Saccharomyces cerevisiae S288C: one gene and its partners. The protein of the gene in region 3 purifies or fractionates together with the protein of the main gene of each other region. This does not show direct contact. Each region holds a gene or a part of one and is shown on either strand. Other genes may lie near its edges.

Evidence for each region. The genes of interacting proteins can lie anywhere in the genome.
Region 1: the proteins of TAF1 (region 3) and TAF10 purify together in Saccharomyces cerevisiae (affinity purification with western blotting; 15 studies listed by BioGRID, with this or other methods). This does not show direct contact.
Region 2: the proteins of TAF1 (region 3) and TAF14 purify together in Saccharomyces cerevisiae (affinity purification with western blotting; 12 studies listed by BioGRID, with this or other methods). This does not show direct contact.

The regions. Positions count from the first base shown.
Region 1 is NC_001136.10:787,518-791,825, forward strand, and holds TAF10 (Taf10p), read left to right. Parts: upstream 1-1,931; coding exon 1,932-2,552; downstream 2,553-4,308. Other genes in the region: exocyst subunit SEC5, read right to left, coding at 1-1,704; Hsp90 co-chaperone CDC37, read left to right, coding at 2,811-4,308.
Region 2 is NC_001148.4:303,615-307,893, reverse strand, and holds TAF14 (TATA-binding protein-associated factor TAF14), read right to left. Parts: upstream 2,597-4,279; coding exon 2,588-2,596; intron 2,483-2,587; coding exon 1,757-2,482; downstream 1-1,756. Other genes in the region: TBF1 (Tbf1p), read left to right, coding at 1-1,361; SPO19 (Spo19p), read right to left, coding at 2,836-3,507; 60S ribosomal protein uL18 RPL5, read right to left, coding at 3,880-4,279. UniProt on the Saccharomyces cerevisiae protein: Functions as a component of the DNA-binding general transcription factor complex TFIID, the RNA polymerase II associated general transcription factor complex TFIIF, and the chromatin-remodeling complex SWI/SNF.
Region 3 is NC_001139.9:1,034,865-1,044,807, reverse strand, and holds TAF1 (histone acetyltransferase), read left to right. Parts: upstream 1-1,712; coding exon 1,713-4,913; downstream 4,914-9,943. Other genes in the region: RNH70 (Rnh70p), read left to right, coding at 1-989; RTT102 (Rtt102p), read right to left, coding at 1,059-1,532; YGR273C (uncharacterized protein), read left to right, coding at 5,569-6,093; EFG1 (Efg1p), read left to right, coding at 6,307-7,008; SLH1 (RNA helicase), read right to left, coding at 7,114-9,943. UniProt on the Saccharomyces cerevisiae protein: Functions as a component of the DNA-binding general transcription factor complex TFIID. Binding of TFIID to a promoter (with or without TATA element) is the initial step in pre-initiation complex (PIC) formation.

The sequences.
Region 1 (4,308 bases), on a different chromosome or scaffold from region 3:
AGAATCCTTCAATGATGATGGTAGAGATGATTGAGAAGATGTGAAAAATGATATTAAATTTTGTGAGACTGAAGTGATGAATTCCTCGCCCTTTAACCTAACCTCGTTAATCTGTTCTTCCTTCAAGATCAAGCTTTTTTGGTATGATTCAATAATATTAGAATCACCGATCAAAATGTTTTCTTTTCTTTTTTCATTTATAATGGAATTTTGGTAAGTCCCATCGAGGAACTTTTCAATGTGTTCCCAGAATTCTATAAATTGATCACAAATTTTCCACAGGTCGTTAATATATTTTAAGATTAATAGCCACATTTCAATGATAGTTGGGGAATCAGTTAGTCCTTGAGAGCTGGGTTGGCAATTCAAATTTAGATAGCTGGTTCCAGAAATGGTGTTAACTTTATTGGGTTCAACGGTACTTTTCAAACCTTCACTATCCTTGCCCGTATCACTTATTATTTGGAATAATTGATTGATTTTCAAATAATACGACAGCTCCACGCACCCTTGACTTTTATCTTGATTAGTATTGTTTTGTAATATAAGCCTTTGAGAATGAATGATTTTACTAATCATATGGCCAGACAACTCGTTCAGTTCATTCTGAAAGCCATTCATTTTGATGGACATCCATCTTAGGATTGGATTTTCATTGGATGATGAAGTTGTGTTCTTGTTACCACTTTCACTTTCTCTTTGATTATTATTGATAAAGTTTTCTAAGTTCAACAATTTTGAAAAGAGGGACAAAATTGTTTCTTGGGGTTGGTCAATGTTAAAATTTGAATTTATTAAACTGTTCCAAATCAGATCTTTATACGTGACTAATAAATTTTCTATTTGAGTCCAAATTCTTTTTATAACAAGAGATTGTGAAGCATCTGAACTCTGGTTGAAACGGCGACGGAGCGTAAGACCTTTTGAATATTCGATAATGAACTCATTGAAATCGTTGTTAGTCAAACATCTCTTTAAAGATTTGGGTAGGTTGAAGTAAAACTTATTCAATTCAATAAATTTTTTGGTGGCCTGGTAATTCAAAATTTTCTGATAGTTATCCATTAGCGGTTTCAGTTTGAAAGTTGTTGTTCTAATAACCTCGTCGACCTTTTTATTTAAGCTTTCCACATTTATTTGATTTTCTTTTGGTGAATCACATTGGTTTTTTTCATTCGTTTTCTCGTCAAATTCTTTGTAAATTTGGTCTAACTTGTTTTTAATCTTAACATACTTGGTGAAATTTTTACCAACCAATTGTTTCAAATGTATAGATTGGTCTTGTATATCACTGTCCAACCTGTCCAGTGAGTTATTTAGATCATTGAAAGAGTCTTGTTTGTGCATATCTCTCAGAAAGGCTTTGACGTTGAATTGTTTACTGTTGACAAGATAGTTCAACCGCATTGAATCATTTGGTAGATGTTGCAATTCTTTAGACATTTCTTGTCCATTCAAGGGATCTCTAATATAACTTAACGACTCATCGTTTAAATATGCTCTCGATTCCTTGTCAATGCTAATTTGATTGCCATATTTGAAGTCTTTTAATATGTCGAATGACGTTTCAACGCCAAGTTCATTGCTTGTAGCCTCTTCATTATTCAATTTTGAGGAATCTTGGGCCCAGGAATGGGTCGGATTAATAGTCTTCAACTGATAAAAACGAAGTAGTTGCTCGTCGCCAATTTGAAACCTATCCATGGTACCAAACTTTTTTTCGCTACTTTATTTCAACAGAAACTTCTTTCCTAGTTTAGCAGCTTTAACGCAGCTTATTTTTGTTACTTTAGTTGAATAGTAGGAGTTGATACTTTTGTTTTTTCAAGTTGAAAACAGAAACGAAAAATTAAAGAAGCTGCAGATTCAGCATTCATGCCTAAGCTAAAAAGAACTGGCAGCGAAGAACAGAGGAAAGAATAACTGAAACTATGGATTTTGAGGAAGATTACGATGCGGAGTTTGATGATAATCAAGAAGGACAATTAGAAACACCTTTTCCATCGGTTGCGGGAGCCGATGATGGGGACAATGATAATGATGACTCTGTCGCAGAAAACATGAAGAAGAAGCAAAAGAGAGAGGCTGTAGTGGATGATGGGAGTGAAAATGCATTTGGTATACCCGAATTTACAAGAAAAGATAAGACTCTGGAGGAGATTCTAGAGATGATGGACAGTACTCCTCCTATCATTCCCGATGCAGTAATAGACTACTATTTAACCAAAAACGGGTTTAACGTAGCAGATGTACGAGTGAAACGACTTTTAGCACTTGCTACTCAGAAATTTGTTAGTGATATAGCTAAGGATGCCTACGAATATTCCAGGATCAGGTCTTCCGTAGCGGTATCTAATGCTAACAACAGTCAGGCGAGAGCTAGGCAGCTATTGCAAGGACAGCAACAGCCTGGCGTGCAGCAGATTTCACAACAACAACATCAACAGAATGAGAAGACTACAGCAAGCAAAGTTGTTCTGACGGTGAACGATCTCAGTAGCGCTGTTGCTGAATACGGGCTCAATATAGGTCGCCCAGACTTTTATCGTTAGTGGCTAACAAATGGAAATGAAATATGTATATAGTGTAGCAGTATGCAACTCTTTTAAATACACGATTCGTTATTAGATTGATTAGAGCACTTATTCACGCAAATTTGACACGCTTTTTGAACATCCGTTTTTCACGATTTTTTACTGAAGGATCATGAAAGATTGCCACATAAGAGAACACCTCCGTTGCACCAACACTTCATCACGATAAAAAAACTATCGAGCTATCGTACTACGGAACAACTACATAAGTCAAAAATGGCCATTGATTACTCTAAGTGGGATAAAATTGAACTATCAGATGATTCTGATGTCGAGGTGCATCCTAATGTGGACAAGAAATCGTTCATTAAATGGAAACAACAGAGTATCCATGAACAGCGATTCAAAAGGAACCAAGATATCAAAAATTTGGAGACACAAGTGGATATGTATTCTCATTTGAACAAACGAGTGGACAGAATTTTGAGTAATTTACCTGAAAGTTCTCTTACTGATTTGCCAGCCGTTACCAAATTCTTGAATGCAAATTTTGATAAGATGGAGAAAAGTAAAGGGGAAAATGTTGATCCTGAGATTGCAACATACAATGAAATGGTTGAAGATCTTTTTGAACAATTAGCAAAAGATTTAGACAAAGAGGGCAAAGACTCGAAGAGCCCATCTCTCATAAGGGATGCTATTTTGAAACATAGGGCTAAGATCGATTCAGTAACTGTAGAGGCTAAGAAGAAATTAGATGAATTATACAAGGAGAAAAATGCACACATTTCATCTGAAGACATTCATACAGGCTTTGATAGTAGCTTTATGAACAAGCAAAAGGGGGGGGCTAAGCCACTGGAAGCAACTCCTTCAGAAGCTCTTTCGAGCGCTGCAGAGTCTAATATTCTTAATAAACTAGCAAAATCATCAGTTCCGCAAACTTTCATCGATTTTAAAGATGATCCTATGAAACTGGCCAAGGAAACTGAAGAATTCGGTAAAATATCCATTAATGAGTACTCAAAATCTCAGAAATTCTTACTGGAGCACTTACCTATTATTTCAGAACAACAAAAGGACGCCTTAATGATGAAGGCCTTTGAGTATCAGTTACATGGTGACGATAAGATGACTTTGCAAGTCATTCATCAATCCGAATTGATGGCCTACATTAAGGAAATCTACGACATGAAGAAAATTCCATATTTAAATCCAATGGAACTATCAAATGTCATTAATATGTTTTTCGAGAAGGTTATCTTCAACAAGGACAAGCCAATGGGTAAAGAGTCTTTTTTGAGATCAGTTCAAGAAAAATTTTTGCACATTCAAAAACGTTCCAAAATTTTACAACAAGAGGAAATGGATGAATCGAATGCTGAAGGAGTAGAGACGATTCAATTGAAATCTCTAGATGATTCTACAGAATTAGAAGTAAACTTGCCAGACTTCAATTCTAAAGATCCAGAAGAGATGAAAAAGGTTAAAGTTTTCAAAACTTTAATACCGGAAAAAATGCAAGAAGCCATAATGACCAAAAATTTGGATAATATTAATAAAGTCTTTGAAGATATACCAATTGAAGAGGCTGAGAAACTTTTGGAAGTGTTTAATGACATTGACATTATTGGAATAAAAGCGATCTTAGAAAACGAGAAAGACTTTCAAAGTTTGAAAGATCAATACGAACAGGACCATGAAGACGCCACTATGGAGAATCTGTCCTTAAACGACCGTGATGGTGGCGGAGATAACCATGAAGAGGTCAAAC
Region 2 (4,279 bases), on a different chromosome or scaffold from region 3:
CCCCTCCCCCCCTTATATTGAGAGGCCACGAAGCGTTTATTATTACTGCCATAAGAAAGGCGAATCTGCTAACATTTCTATTGACGTCGCTGAACTGCCTTAATTACGGGTTTGAGCTGCTACAGTCGATATTTCTCGATATTTTCTGTCCAAATACAAACACTGTCGGTAACAACTCCCTGGAACAAAGCGGAAAGTTTTTGAAATCGCAGGCTATCCTATATCTTGATCTGAAAACACAGGCTTACATTGCCGGCTTGAAAGAGTTTCAGGACGAGACGAACGAAATTTCTTTAGAAAAGAAACAAGAGCTACTAGACTTAATCTTCCCATCCAATCTGGCTGATATTCTCGTGCAGAGAAGAACCGGCGATTCTGGAGACATTACACTTTTGACTCCATCGGAGAAGGACTTCGTCGAAAGGTGCGATCGTCGGAGAGAAAATTTAAAGATCGTCCAAGATTTTAACTCTCTGACCCAGAGCTACGAATGGGCTCAATTTATCAGAGAGTTGCTGGATTATTGTAATAAAAATATGGGTCTCATCATATGGGGCAGAAAGGGTCGCGGAAAATCACCATTATATGACTTTGATGTCAACGAGTTTGATCCTCAAGTACTCTTTTCTACAGGGACCAGGACCGTAGAATTCATGGACGACCAAAATCAGCCAAGCAGTGCGTCTGCTTTTTTGTCAACTGCTCGTCCGAATCATTACAGCACACATACACCTACCACAGATGTGTCTTCCAAAAACCCCGCTATCACACAATCCATTGTGGATGCCGCTGTTGCGGCCTCGATGAGCAACAGCAGCTCTGGTCCTCATTCCTCTCATAACAACAGCAGTAACAGCAACAATAATGGTAGTATCGGATTAAGAAAACCAAAGGCGAAAAGAACTTGGTCCAAAGAGGAAGAAGAAGCATTAGTGGAAGGCCTGAAAGAGGTTGGCCCATCGTGGTCTAAGATTCTAGATTTATATGGTCCCGGTGGTAAAATCACGGAAAATTTGAAGAACAGGACGCAGGTACAACTGAAAGATAAAGCCCGTAATTGGAAATTACAATACTTGAAGAGTGGCAAACCATTGCCTGACTATTTGATAAAAGTGACCGGTAACTTGGAGAAAATCTACAAGGCAAAGAAAAAATTCTCTCAATCTCCAAATTCGTCAACTATTATGGAACAAAATTTATCTCAGCATCCTTCATCAGCTGCATCTGCTACTGAAGACACTCAAACTCATCAAGAGGATTCACATGGGCAAAATAGTGATAATATGCCATCTAACGGACTTTTTGGCAATAGTACATCGGACAATACAGGTTTTGATCCTCATTTAGAAGATGGGATGTAGCGCGCTTAAATGAACAGACTTCTAATTTTCTATTGAACCACTCACTATTAAAAATACTTTGATGGGTTGTTAACTTCGCATTGTTTGGTTCCCTAGGTATATTCTTTTGACGTGGTCACCCTATCTTCTAGCAACCTGGTCCCCTCGTGTTTTTCTTTTTATTCTTTTTTCTTTTCCATTTTCTATTACATTGGAATGTATATATTTGATGTTCTCATTTTCTAAAATGAAAACTGTTGTATAATTACTTAAAATCCAAGATAAAAATGTGTTGTAATAATATGTGTTTGGTAAGGTGTCGCGGTTATTGGAATAAAGTTTATATAAGACAAAATATCAACGTGTTTTATTTATACAAACATAAAAGCGCGCATTTAACGCCCTTTTACCTTTTATTACTCGGTATTTTTCTTAACGTAGTCCCATAGACTTTTCAATAATCCCTCAGGTAAACTATACAAGTCAATTATAAATTCACCCTCTTCAACATTATTCGTCACGTTCATTTCTGGTGTTTTATTGTCGGTAACCATTTGAACAACACCAACCAGGTCATCTTCATTTAGTTTAGTCAATCCGAACGCTAATTTTTCTAGGTCCACGCTCCCTTTCACGGTAGATGCACTGCCCGTCTTAGCTCTCTTCGCCTTTGGTTCTGCAGTTGTGTTCGTGGTAGTCCTTCTTTTCCCAATGGTGCCTGTATTGGCCGTCGTTTCTTCAGTAGATCCACTTTTCGCAAGTTCTTCTGTTAAAAGTGGTTTATTGAGAGGAATCTGGATAACGTGCTCCACTTCATAACTCTCTTGTAGAAAGTTCAAATCGTGTGGTATTTTCCGCTCACCTGCTTTTTCCAACAAGAAAACGCTTATATCTAAAGGAAATCCACCCCAACCTTGTTCCTCAATTCTAAATGGTGGGTCAGTAAATGTCCTGTTAGGATTGGCGAAAGTTGGGTGCAAGTGGTAAATAACTTTGTCAAAAATTGTAGCGGGAATTTCTTTTCCTTCATCATCCAATAATACAATTTCTATACTCCATTGACGAACAGGAAAATTCTCTACTGGTGGCACTTCTGGCAGAATGTGTTGTTGGGTTTTTATACGGATGGTTCTTTTTACTGTCTGTTGGTTATTTAATGATGAGAATAGAGTCGTAAGTTAGTATTATTTTAGCTAACAAAACAAAAAGCATATGGGTGGGTGGCTAAAAGAGATTAACGAACATACAGCTACCATGATTAGTTATCTAATATCAGTCAGCTCCGAGGTCACGAAGGAGAAAAATTACGGTATATTCTTTTTTTTTCACCGCACTACAGCCTTGACGTGTAATACTGTAACAAGTTCAAACTTCAAGTTTTTTGTCAGTACTTTGCTAAAGAGCTTTCTCGTCTTGAGTGATTTTAAAAAGTGACAGTAAATAAAACAGGAAAGCTAGCCAACAATATTTCTTATTTAAATAAAATAATGATCTATTAATACGCCTGTATAAATAATAAAATGGTTAAAAGTACCGCAAGAGCCACTGTTGTAGGAGTCAAAAAGTTGCTCGCATTATCGTAGTCCTCATTCAATGATGAAATATTCGAATAAGGTGTAGAAGAAGCAACGTAGGAGTGAGAAGTCACGAAAGGCCGAATAGTAGTCGTTGATTCAGTTGTACTTGCATTGATAAGGTTTCCATCGTAAGTATTAACAATATTCTTTTCTTCGACTACTTCATATATATTTGAACCAAGCTTACCCAAATCTTCAGCTTGGGCATTGAAGTCATAAATTAAATCCTCTTCTTCTTCTTCTTCAAGACCGCCTTCAGAACTTCTTTCAAAATCATCAAATTCGTATTCGTTGATATACTCTAGTAGCATATCTGATTTTGACTTCATTTTCGCGTACTCGTTGAAGTCTATAAACTCAAGAGTGTCCGGTAAATCAGTAAGAACAACATCTCTTGTGCTTGCCAACTGTTCCAAAGTCTTCTTGTCAATAGCTTTCTTATCGATTTCAATCACTATAGGGTCTTCATTGAAGTATAAAATTGAGTCACCTCCTAGCTCTTCAGTGGAAAGGCCTACATTACTTCGCTCGCCAAAAACAGTAGAACATAAAATACTTTGTGCAGCAACTATTAATATTTGTTTCTTCATTGATAGTATAGCGTGATCTTATATTTGTTAGTGATGATTTTATGGCACGGACTTAGTTAGAATGCCATTCTAGAGAAGAAATCTTCATATGTTCGTTACATAAAGAGAATAAAATTACCTAAAATTGGATGATAACTTTTATAAAATCAACTACTTTTTGTGGCATTTTTTTCTTTTCTCTTTTCATCATGATTTGAGTGTACTATTACTGCAGTGCAAAAAAAGGGTAGTAATGAGGCGGTACGCAAATCGTAAAAAAAATACAAATGTAGTAAGTGGATGATGTAAATGAGTTAACTAAAAATGAATACAAAGGTTATGTGAAGATAGCTTTATTTAAAATATCTCAAAATGACGTTATATATCCATAATTTATTGTTGACCAGCCAAAGCAGCGATCTTGGCAGCAACACGAGCAGCTCTTTCTTCCTTGGACAATTTGGTTTGTCTGTACTTCTTGGATTCAGCAGCGTATTGTTCCTTGGTGAATTTCTTTTCAGTTGGCTTGAAAGCTGGGTCAGCTCTGATAGCTTCGTGAGCAGAAGTGTAGATGTCTTCCAAAGAGTCAGCATCAATGTCGTCAGCTAGGTAACCCTTGAATAATTCAGAGAATCTTTCTTCATCATCGTCAGCTAATTCTTCCATGTATTGGGAAACGTGGCCACCAAAGATGTAAGATCTCAATAATTCTGGGTCAATTTCTTCGGTTTCGAAGTCCCAACCTGGGAATCTGTTTTCGGAGTGAGGAACGTACAAACCACCGTCAGAAGCA
Region 3 (9,943 bases):
TCTTTGCACTAGACTGTGAAATGTGTCTTTCCGAACAAGGTTTAGTTCTAACTAGGATTTCTCTAGTGAATTTTGACAATGAAGTTATCTATGAAGAGTTGGTGAAACCTGATGTCCCCATAGTGGACTATTTGACACGTTACAGTGGTATAACTGAAGAGAAACTAACTGTTGGTGCCAAGAAAACATTGCGAGAAGTACAAAAAGATTTACTAAAGATAATAAGTCGTTCAGATATTTTGATAGGACATTCGCTACAGAATGATTTGAAAGTCATGAAATTGAAACATCCATTGGTCGTGGATACAGCTATTATATACCATCATAAAGCTGGCGATCCTTTCAAGCCAAGTTTAAAATACTTGAGCGAAACCTTTCTGAATAAAAGCATTCAAAACGGAGAACACGATTCTGTCGAAGATGCAAGGGCTTGTCTTGAATTGACGAAATTAAAAATCTTAAATGGGTTAGCATTTGGGATAGGTATCAATACGGAGAACTTGTTCACCAAATTACATCGTTTTGAAGTGAAAACCGTTCTTCTCAACGATATGATTATTAAAAATCATACTGAGGACGATTCTAAGGGCCAGTTAATCCGTTGCGTCGAAGATGATGAGACATGGACCCATATTCACGAGAATCTAAATAAAGATGTCAAACTTATTGTGGGGAGAATCAAGAACTTAGAGAGGTCACGCAACTATAATAAAAAGCCACGGAAGGAAACTCCTTCGTTCGATGCGTCCATGGTTCTTCATGATATAGGGCAACATCTAACACAATTATACGAGAATGCTACACCAGGTACTATGATTTTGATCATGTCGGGTACAGGCGACACAAGACCATGGAACAATCTTTCAACTGAGTTAGAGTTTATTCAAGACAAAAAGGAAAGATTAGATAAAAGACGCGAAAGGGAACCTGAAATAGTAGAAGCCATAAAGTTAGCCCGGGGTGGTGTAGCATCCTTTACTGTAAAATAATTCTATGTGTATAAATATATAAATATATATATATATATATATATATATATATGCATAATACTTTTCCTTTTAATTCATTTTCACATCTTTACTCTCCTTTGTATTATCATTGTTCACTCCCGCAGATAACCCAGGAATGGCTTCACTATTACCGACAGCGCCTCTTATATCATCCACACTAAGAGCTTCATCTCCTTGATTAGCAGAAGGAGCACCGGTGGCCTTACTTGTATCACCCTTAGTGTGCGATGTCATCAACGACTTTTTCAGTATTCTTCTATCAAATTCTTTCAAATCTAATATATCCTCACAGCTCTCCCTCTGTAGATTTTTCTCATCTTCCTGGTTCCTCAACCATGTTTTATACCTGAATGGATATTTCTCCAAGTTATTCTCCATGTCCCCTAGCTGTTGTTGTGGTTGCTGCACATTGGAGCTCACCTTAGATGGTTGGTACCAATCATACCTCCATGATTCCTTACTCGTAGGGTTGCCATAGTAAGAAACCTTATTGGCCTTAGTAATGAGCGTCTGTGGGTCCATTTTCTCTATCTCTTGCTGACGTAGCTCTTTCTTTCCAACATTAGGTTTTATCGCCTTGTTCATTAATAAACTAGTCGATAATTTCATTTCGCGGCGATGGTTTTCAAATGTGCTTTTAAGAGAATAAATAGCATTTTAAACACAGAGAGAAAAAGAAGTACAACAGGAGTATAAGGCGATATGGTAAAGCAGCAGGGATCCGGCAAGACCAACTTGGCCAACGAAGATGAAGCATATGAAGCTATTTTTGGCGGAGAGTTTGGCTCTTTAGAAATCGGGTCATACATTGGCGGGGATGAAGGTGCCAATTCAAAGGACTATACGGAGCATTTGCCGGATGCTGTAGATTTTGAAGATGAAGATGAACTTGCTGATGACGATGACGATTTGCCAGAAGAATCTGATGCTAATTTGCATCCAGCTATGATGACTATGGGCGCGTATGATGATGTAAACGAGAACGGTGCCGTACTCGGTATCGACTCAAATAGTTTGAATATGCAACTGCCTGAAATTAATGGTGATTTGTCTCAACAGTTTATTTTGGAGGATGATGGGGGTACTCCCGCAACTAGCAATGCTTTGTTTATGGGAATGGATGCAAATGAAATTCATCTCGCCACTGAAACTGGAGTTCTTGATGGTAGTGGCGCAAATGAAATTGGGCATTCTCAACTTTCCATTGGTGGCGTTAATGGAAATGATATGTCGATAAATGGTGGATTTATCATGGAACCAGATATGTCAGATGGCAAGCATAAGAAAGCCACCAAATTAGACTTGATAAACCATGAGAAGTATCTTCTAAAAAAATACTTTCCTGATTTTGAAAAGGGTAAAATTTTAAAATGGAACAAGCTGATTTATAGAAGATCTGTTCCTTATCATTGGCACAGTGAAATATCTAGGGTAAAGAAACCGTTTATGCCTTTAAATTTGAAATTCAAGGTTCAACAGGATGATAAGAGGCTATTCAACTCAAGGACAATATCTTACGTCGCTCCGATTTATCAAGGGAAAAACAATTTACTTCAAAGTAACTCTTCTGCATCCCGAAGAGGTTTAATTCATGTTTCCATTGATGAACTTTTCCCTATCAAAGAGCAACAAAAAAAAAGAAAGATTATTCATGATGAAAAGACCATATCGGAAGACTTGCTTATTGCCACTGATGATTGGGACCAAGAAAAAATCATCAACCAAGGTACTTCATCAACAGCAACCTTGGCGGATTCGTCTATGACACCCAACTTAAAGTTCTCCGGCGGTTATAAATTGAAGAGCTTGATTGAGGATGTTGCTGAAGATTGGCAGTGGGATGAAGACATGATCATTGATGCAAAATTGAAAGAGTCTAAACATGCTGAATTAAATATGAATGACGAAAAACTGTTGCTGATGATTGAGAAAACAAATAATTTAGCGCAGCAAAAGCAACAACTGGATAGTAGTAACTTGATATTGCCCCTCAACGAAACTATTTTGCAACAAAAATTCAATTTATCTAATGATGATAAATATCAAATCTTGAAAAAAACCCATCAAACAAAAGTTCGTTCTACCATCTCGAACTTAAATATTCAGCATTCTCAACCTGCGATTAATTTACAATCTCCATTTTACAAAGTGGCTGTTCCTAGATACCAGTTGAGGCATTTCCACCGTGAAAACTTTGGTTCGCACATCAGACCAGGTACTAAAATTGTCTTCAGTAAGTTAAAAGCGCGTAAAAGGAAAAGAGATAAAGGTAAAGATGTCAAAGAATCATTTTCTACATCTCAAGATCTAACCATCGGGGATACTGCTCCTGTTTATTTAATGGAATATTCTGAACAAACACCGGTAGCTTTGTCTAAATTTGGTATGGCCAATAAATTAATTAATTATTATCGGAAAGCCAATGAACAAGATACTCTAAGGCCCAAATTGCCTGTTGGCGAAACTCACGTTTTGGGAGTTCAAGACAAATCACCATTTTGGAACTTTGGATTTGTTGAACCTGGTCATATCGTCCCCACATTATACAATAACATGATTAGAGCACCCGTTTTCAAACATGATATATCAGGAACAGATTTTCTTCTGACAAAAAGTTCCGGATTTGGTATAAGCAATCGATTTTACTTACGTAATATTAACCATCTTTTTACGGTTGGACAAACTTTTCCTGTCGAGGAGATTCCCGGACCTAATTCAAGAAAGGTGACATCAATGAAAGCTACAAGACTGAAAATGATTATTTATAGAATTCTAAACCATAATCACAGCAAGGCAATTTCTATTGATCCCATTGCAAAGCACTTTCCCGACCAAGATTATGGACAAAACAGACAAAAAGTGAAGGAGTTCATGAAATATCAAAGAGATGGTCCTGAAAAAGGTCTGTGGAGGCTTAAAGATGATGAAAAATTGTTAGACAATGAAGCAGTGAAAAGTTTAATTACGCCAGAGCAGATCAGCCAAGTTGAATCAATGAGTCAGGGCTTACAATTCCAAGAAGATAATGAAGCATATAATTTTGATTCTAAGCTAAAATCTCTAGAAGAAAACTTGTTACCATGGAACATTACAAAAAATTTTATTAATTCAACACAAATGCGAGCTATGATACAAATACATGGTGTTGGTGACCCAACGGGCTGTGGTGAAGGTTTTTCTTTCTTGAAAACTTCAATGAAAGGTGGTTTTGTTAAGTCTGGTTCTCCTTCCAGTAATAACAATAGTTCAAACAAAAAAGGCACTAACACGCATAGCTACAATGTGGCTCAACAGCAAAAAGCTTACGACGAAGAAATTGCGAAGACCTGGTATACACATACAAAATCGTTGAGCATAAGCAATCCTTTTGAGGAAATGACCAATCCTGATGAGATTAATCAGACCAACAAGCATGTTAAGACGGATAGAGATGATAAGAAAATTCTGAAGATTGTTAGAAAGAAAAGAGATGAAAATGGTATAATTCAAAGGCAGACAATTTTCATAAGAGATCCTAGGGTCATTCAAGGATATATAAAAATCAAAGAACAGGATAAAGAAGATGTTAACAAATTGTTAGAGGAGGACACTTCAAAGATAAATAACTTGGAAGAACTTGAGAAACAGAAAAAACTGTTGCAACTAGAATTAGCTAATTTGGAAAAATCACAGCAACGTAGAGCAGCAAGGCAAAATTCGAAGAGAAATGGTGGTGCCACGAGAACAGAAAACTCTGTGGATAATGGTAGCGACCTTGCCGGTGTAACTGACGGGAAAGCAGCCAGGAATAAAGGTAAGAACACTACAAGGAGATGTGCTACATGCGGACAAATCGGGCACATTAGAACAAATAAATCTTGTCCAATGTATAGCAGTAAAGATAACCCTGCTTCACCAAAGTAGATTCAGTATAACGATGTATTGATCGAATAAAACTTTTGTAAAGGTTTTGTATAATGTAACAATAAAGAAATGTACACTATGTTTCTAAACACTGGCAGTGATCAGATTGATAATTTATTGAGTCATATCCTTAAACGATGGACGTGGTGTGTGAATGTGCACTTTTGCAGTAAGATGAAAAGTGCATATTATTTGAGTTCCATTAATATAGCCCAACTCACTGATTAAACACAATAATTGTTGTCTTTGTGCTCGAGTATTTAAAGCTTGTATTTTTCCAGTCTGATTGGAAATCACAGAGGTTAAAACATAAAGGACAATAGCAGAAAAGGTTCCCTAATATGCATTTTTCATACTGGTTGCTCTTTTCCTTTACAAAAGCAAATTCTTACTCAAAATTTAATCTTTTTCCCTATAGTAACCTGTTTGTCTTGATAAATATAATATGATTTATGTAGTTTTATTACTATAATTATATCAAAATTTTAATTTGTGTCTATTTTTTCCTCAACTAAGTTACCTTTTTTCATTTATATGCATTTGTGACGCACTCAAAAGTGTGATGCTGTCGTCAATTTTATAATGTTAAGAATATTAAAGCAAAAGTTTCCTAAAGTAATATCTGAAGTGCTCTAAAATCATAGTTTATCAAAAAATGCAACATTTCGAAAGTTCAGATAAGATAGAAAAGGATGATGATACATCAAGAATTAAATTACGCTCTTCTTCTTTGGCCGCTCCAATCCTCGAGGCTGTTCAAGAAGCCCAGCCTTTTGAAGAAGCCACTTTCTCTAACTTACAGAAGATACATCCGTTAACAGAAAACTCAACTTGCAATGGTTATGTTATTTACGATAAAGATGGAAATTTGAAATCCATGAAGGATACATTTGGTAGGAATATAAAAACACCTGATATTTCAAATCCTACAAGAGCAAGAAATGAAAGGCCATTGGATACAATACGTGGATTTGAATACTCCATAACAAAAGATCCCCGCTGGTTGCAAGAGCTAGAAACATCTAAGTTGGGATTTAAACCTAGACCTGGATTTGCCGTCATTAATCAAGACTCACAGGCTTCAATAAATTTATCTCAACTGGAAGAAAAAGTTATGGAAAGCCAAAAAAAAAAGGAGAAAAGACACATATCACGGCTTTCTCGGTTACTCTGCAGATGAATATAAAGATAAGTACGCTAAGATTATAAAAAGTGCTTGAAGCTCAAAAATATGTATTCCTTTAATTTCTGCGGTACCCTATGCCGGAGCACTAAGAAAAACACATTCAAAAAAATTTTCATACTCATCTCATCTCTACAATTAAACAATACATAAAACAAATATCGTGACTTAGTTATTTTACTTATATCATTCAATAAACCTAATCAATCAATGGCTAAATTACAGAGGAAGAGAAGCAAGGCTCTTGGGTCATCTCTAGAGATGTCCCAGATAATGGATGCAGGAACAAACAAAATTAAAAGAAGAATAAGAGATTTAGAGAGGTTATTAAAAAAGAAGAAAGATATACTTCCATCCACAGTAATAATAGAAAAGGAAAGAAATTTGCAAGCTTTACGGTTGGAATTGCAGAATAATGAACTCAAGAATAAGATTAAAGCCAACGCTAAAAAATATCATATGGTGAGATTCTTTGAAAAAAAAAAAGCATTGAGAAAATATAACAGATTATTGAAGAAAATAAAAGAATCTGGCGCAGATGATAAAGATTTACAACAAAAGTTGAGAGCCACTAAAATTGAATTATGTTACGTGATAAATTTTCCCAAAACTGAAAAGTATATTGCACTATATCCGAATGATACACCATCTACAGACCCAAAGGGCGTAGAATTGACAAATCTTAGAAGAGAACAATTTCTTAAATTAGTAGCTGAAAGAATGGATGCGAACACCTTAAACGTATCTTTCGAAGAGATATTGAAGGGAAAGAAATTGGATGAAGATTCCATCGGATTAACATTATCACCTGATAAAGATCATGAGGATGGATCACAAGTATCACCTACACAGGATAGAAAAGAATTGGATCAAGTTGTGGGAGAAGATGAAAAGGATGACTTTTTTGAGTAAAAAAATTCTAAATGCGTTATGTAAGAAAATATATACGAAGATGTATACTAGATAGATTTCCACTGTTATCTTTCACAAAATAATTGTTGTTTTAATTGTGTCTCACTAAGAGATTAGTTTATGGACCATATCATAACGTAATCCTAAAGCGTCATTAATAAGGGAAAATTGCAATTCTTCGCCACGAATTTCTTCGGGAATAAATAGATCACAATGTATTATGACCTCTTTATTCATTTGTTTTGGTTGACACCTTTTAATCATCAGCAGTTCATCGCCTTTGTGTCCAATTAAAAACCATAGTTCTTTTTGTATCTTAGGGAATTTATCACAATATACTTCAAACCCATTATTATGCTTACTAGAAAGGTGCTTGCTATAAAATGTTAACACCTCGTTATTTTCCTGTTCTTCAAATTTCATGCCTTCTAAAACCGGTAATCTTTGGCAGACACTGACGAAACGTTTTTTCGTATCTTCGCTTTCTGTCATTCCAAAAGTTAGTTGATCAAAAACATTTAATAATTTCTTATATCCAAACCTTCCTATTTCCTCCAAGGTTAACAGCTTTTTCTTCTTTTGCTGCGGCGTCATTTCAATGAACCCCTGCTCGCTAAAAGTGTAATCTTTGATTCTTCTCAGTTGTAATCCTGGAAGTACACTAACAGGATCGTCTTCATACCAATACCCTTGCTTTATGCATTGCATCATCTTTATCATGGTCAATACCGTATGAAAGTAACCCAATTCACTGGCGACATCAATATAAGCCTGTAGAATACGTAGAGATTGATCCAAAACTGATACGGTATCCTGGATATAATCTGCAATCGGTAAATCTACACGGCTTAAATGAGCTTGAAGTAATAAAAATGTTTTTACATGTGGATCCCACATCGGTAATTCGAATTCATCGGTAAAAGTGCTTTCAACGGAGTACCTCGATTGCTGCGACATTTCTTCATTCATGATAATTTCACCACCTCTTACAGGCAATTCATTATACTCAACAGCCAACGATAACCATCGTAATACCTCTTGAAAAGTCGCATGATCATGTATCTGTTTCAATAATTGGCGTATCGTTAAATGTGAAATATAGTAGTATGAGGATATACTTAAGAATGGCGTAGCAACAATATCATCTCCATGTAATAAAACACATTGTGATTCTCGCAGATTTTCTAATGTGCTATCTATCAAAGAACTCAAATGTTCACTGACTCCTGCTGTACTTGTATCATCTTCAATGCCATAATATGTCGGGTTATGATGCGCTCTACGAAACAAAAATGTCCAACTCAAAAAATCTAACGCTTCTTGCTTATTAGTTATGCTACCTGACGTTATTTCTGCACCTAAATGATCATCTAATACCTTGTGCAAGGAGGACTCGACAGGAAAACCAACGTTTAGGAAATGTTTATAAAACATTTTTTTGGACTCTTTTGTATAAACGATAGCAGTACCTGTAGTGTCATAAGCCGGTCTACCAGCTCTCCCCATCATTTGCAAGATATCTGTTAAATCCATATCTCTATATCCTTCAATTTTTGCATCAAAAAATTGTGTACCTTTGATGATAACCAAGTGAGCTGGCAAATTGACACCCCACGCTAGGGTTGATGTAGCGATCAGAATCTGAATTTTGTTTTTTTGAAACAACTGATGAGAAATAGAACGATCTTTTTGCACTAGACCTGCATGATGCAATCCAATACCGAACTGGAGTGATAACTTTAAAGTGTCGTCAGTGACCTGTGATAAGTAATATTGCAGTTCCTCCTCATCGTCTATATTCAAAAACCTACGTGGATTATCTTCCATTCCACATAAGTGGATCAAGTCTAAAGCCGTTAGTCTAGTTTGTCTACGCGATGCAACAAATATTAATGCTGGTTTATCAGGTGAATGTTGTTTAATGGCCATAAACACAGGTTTGTTCATTGTTTTCATCAGAGGACAGAATGCCAAATTATCTGGAAATCCATCAATGTACATTTTCAATGGAACCGGACGGACGCTTGACGGGAAGTTATACAGTCCGTGGTCCTTAACTCCCAACCAGCCAGCCATGTCGTAGGCGTTTGAAACAGCAGTTGACATACCTAGCAGTCTGACCGGTTGCTTGGTTTGAGAGGAAATATAATTCATACGACTAACAATCATTTCTAAGATAGGACCACGATCACTAGCCAACAAATGAATTTCATCCATGATAATTAAAGATACATCTTGAACAAACTTACGAGTTTGCCAATTACGGGAAATACCATCAAACTTTTCTGGAGTTGTAATAACAATGGTGGCATCATGCACATCTTTAGGATCTGGCAAAGAATCACCGGTTAACTCTACAACTTTATCTCCGGTCACTGGTGTTATTTTCTTTCTCCAGTCATCAACCCTTTCACGTACTAATGCTTTCATTGGTGCGATATAAACAATCTTTTTCCCAGGAAATGTTTTGAAGGCATGCCATATAGCCAATTCAGCCACAATCGTTTTACCAGAACCTGTAGGCGAGCCAACAAACGCATTCTCATTGGTATTGTAAAGTGTATAAAATGTCATAGTTTGCATGGGATTGAAATACTTGAAAGGATAAATTGACTCAATTAAAGGATTCTGGAGGGCTGATGTAGGTAGAGGACGTAACTTCAACAATTTTGTCTGTAAAGTTTCGTTAAATGGTCTGATTAAATGTTGAAAAGAGATGGCATGGGTCGATTCACAGCCAATCCAAGTATCCGACACAACCTTTACGACAACCTGCGGAGGCAAAGGGTCTGACAATGGGATCATGAAGTCCATTTCATGCTGATTATTCAACTGCCTTCTGTTTAAGATGAACTTTTCAAAATGAAGGATTTGCGACTTATCAGATTCTTCAACGAAAACCCAAAAAAACTGTGCATCACCATGTATCCGGGAA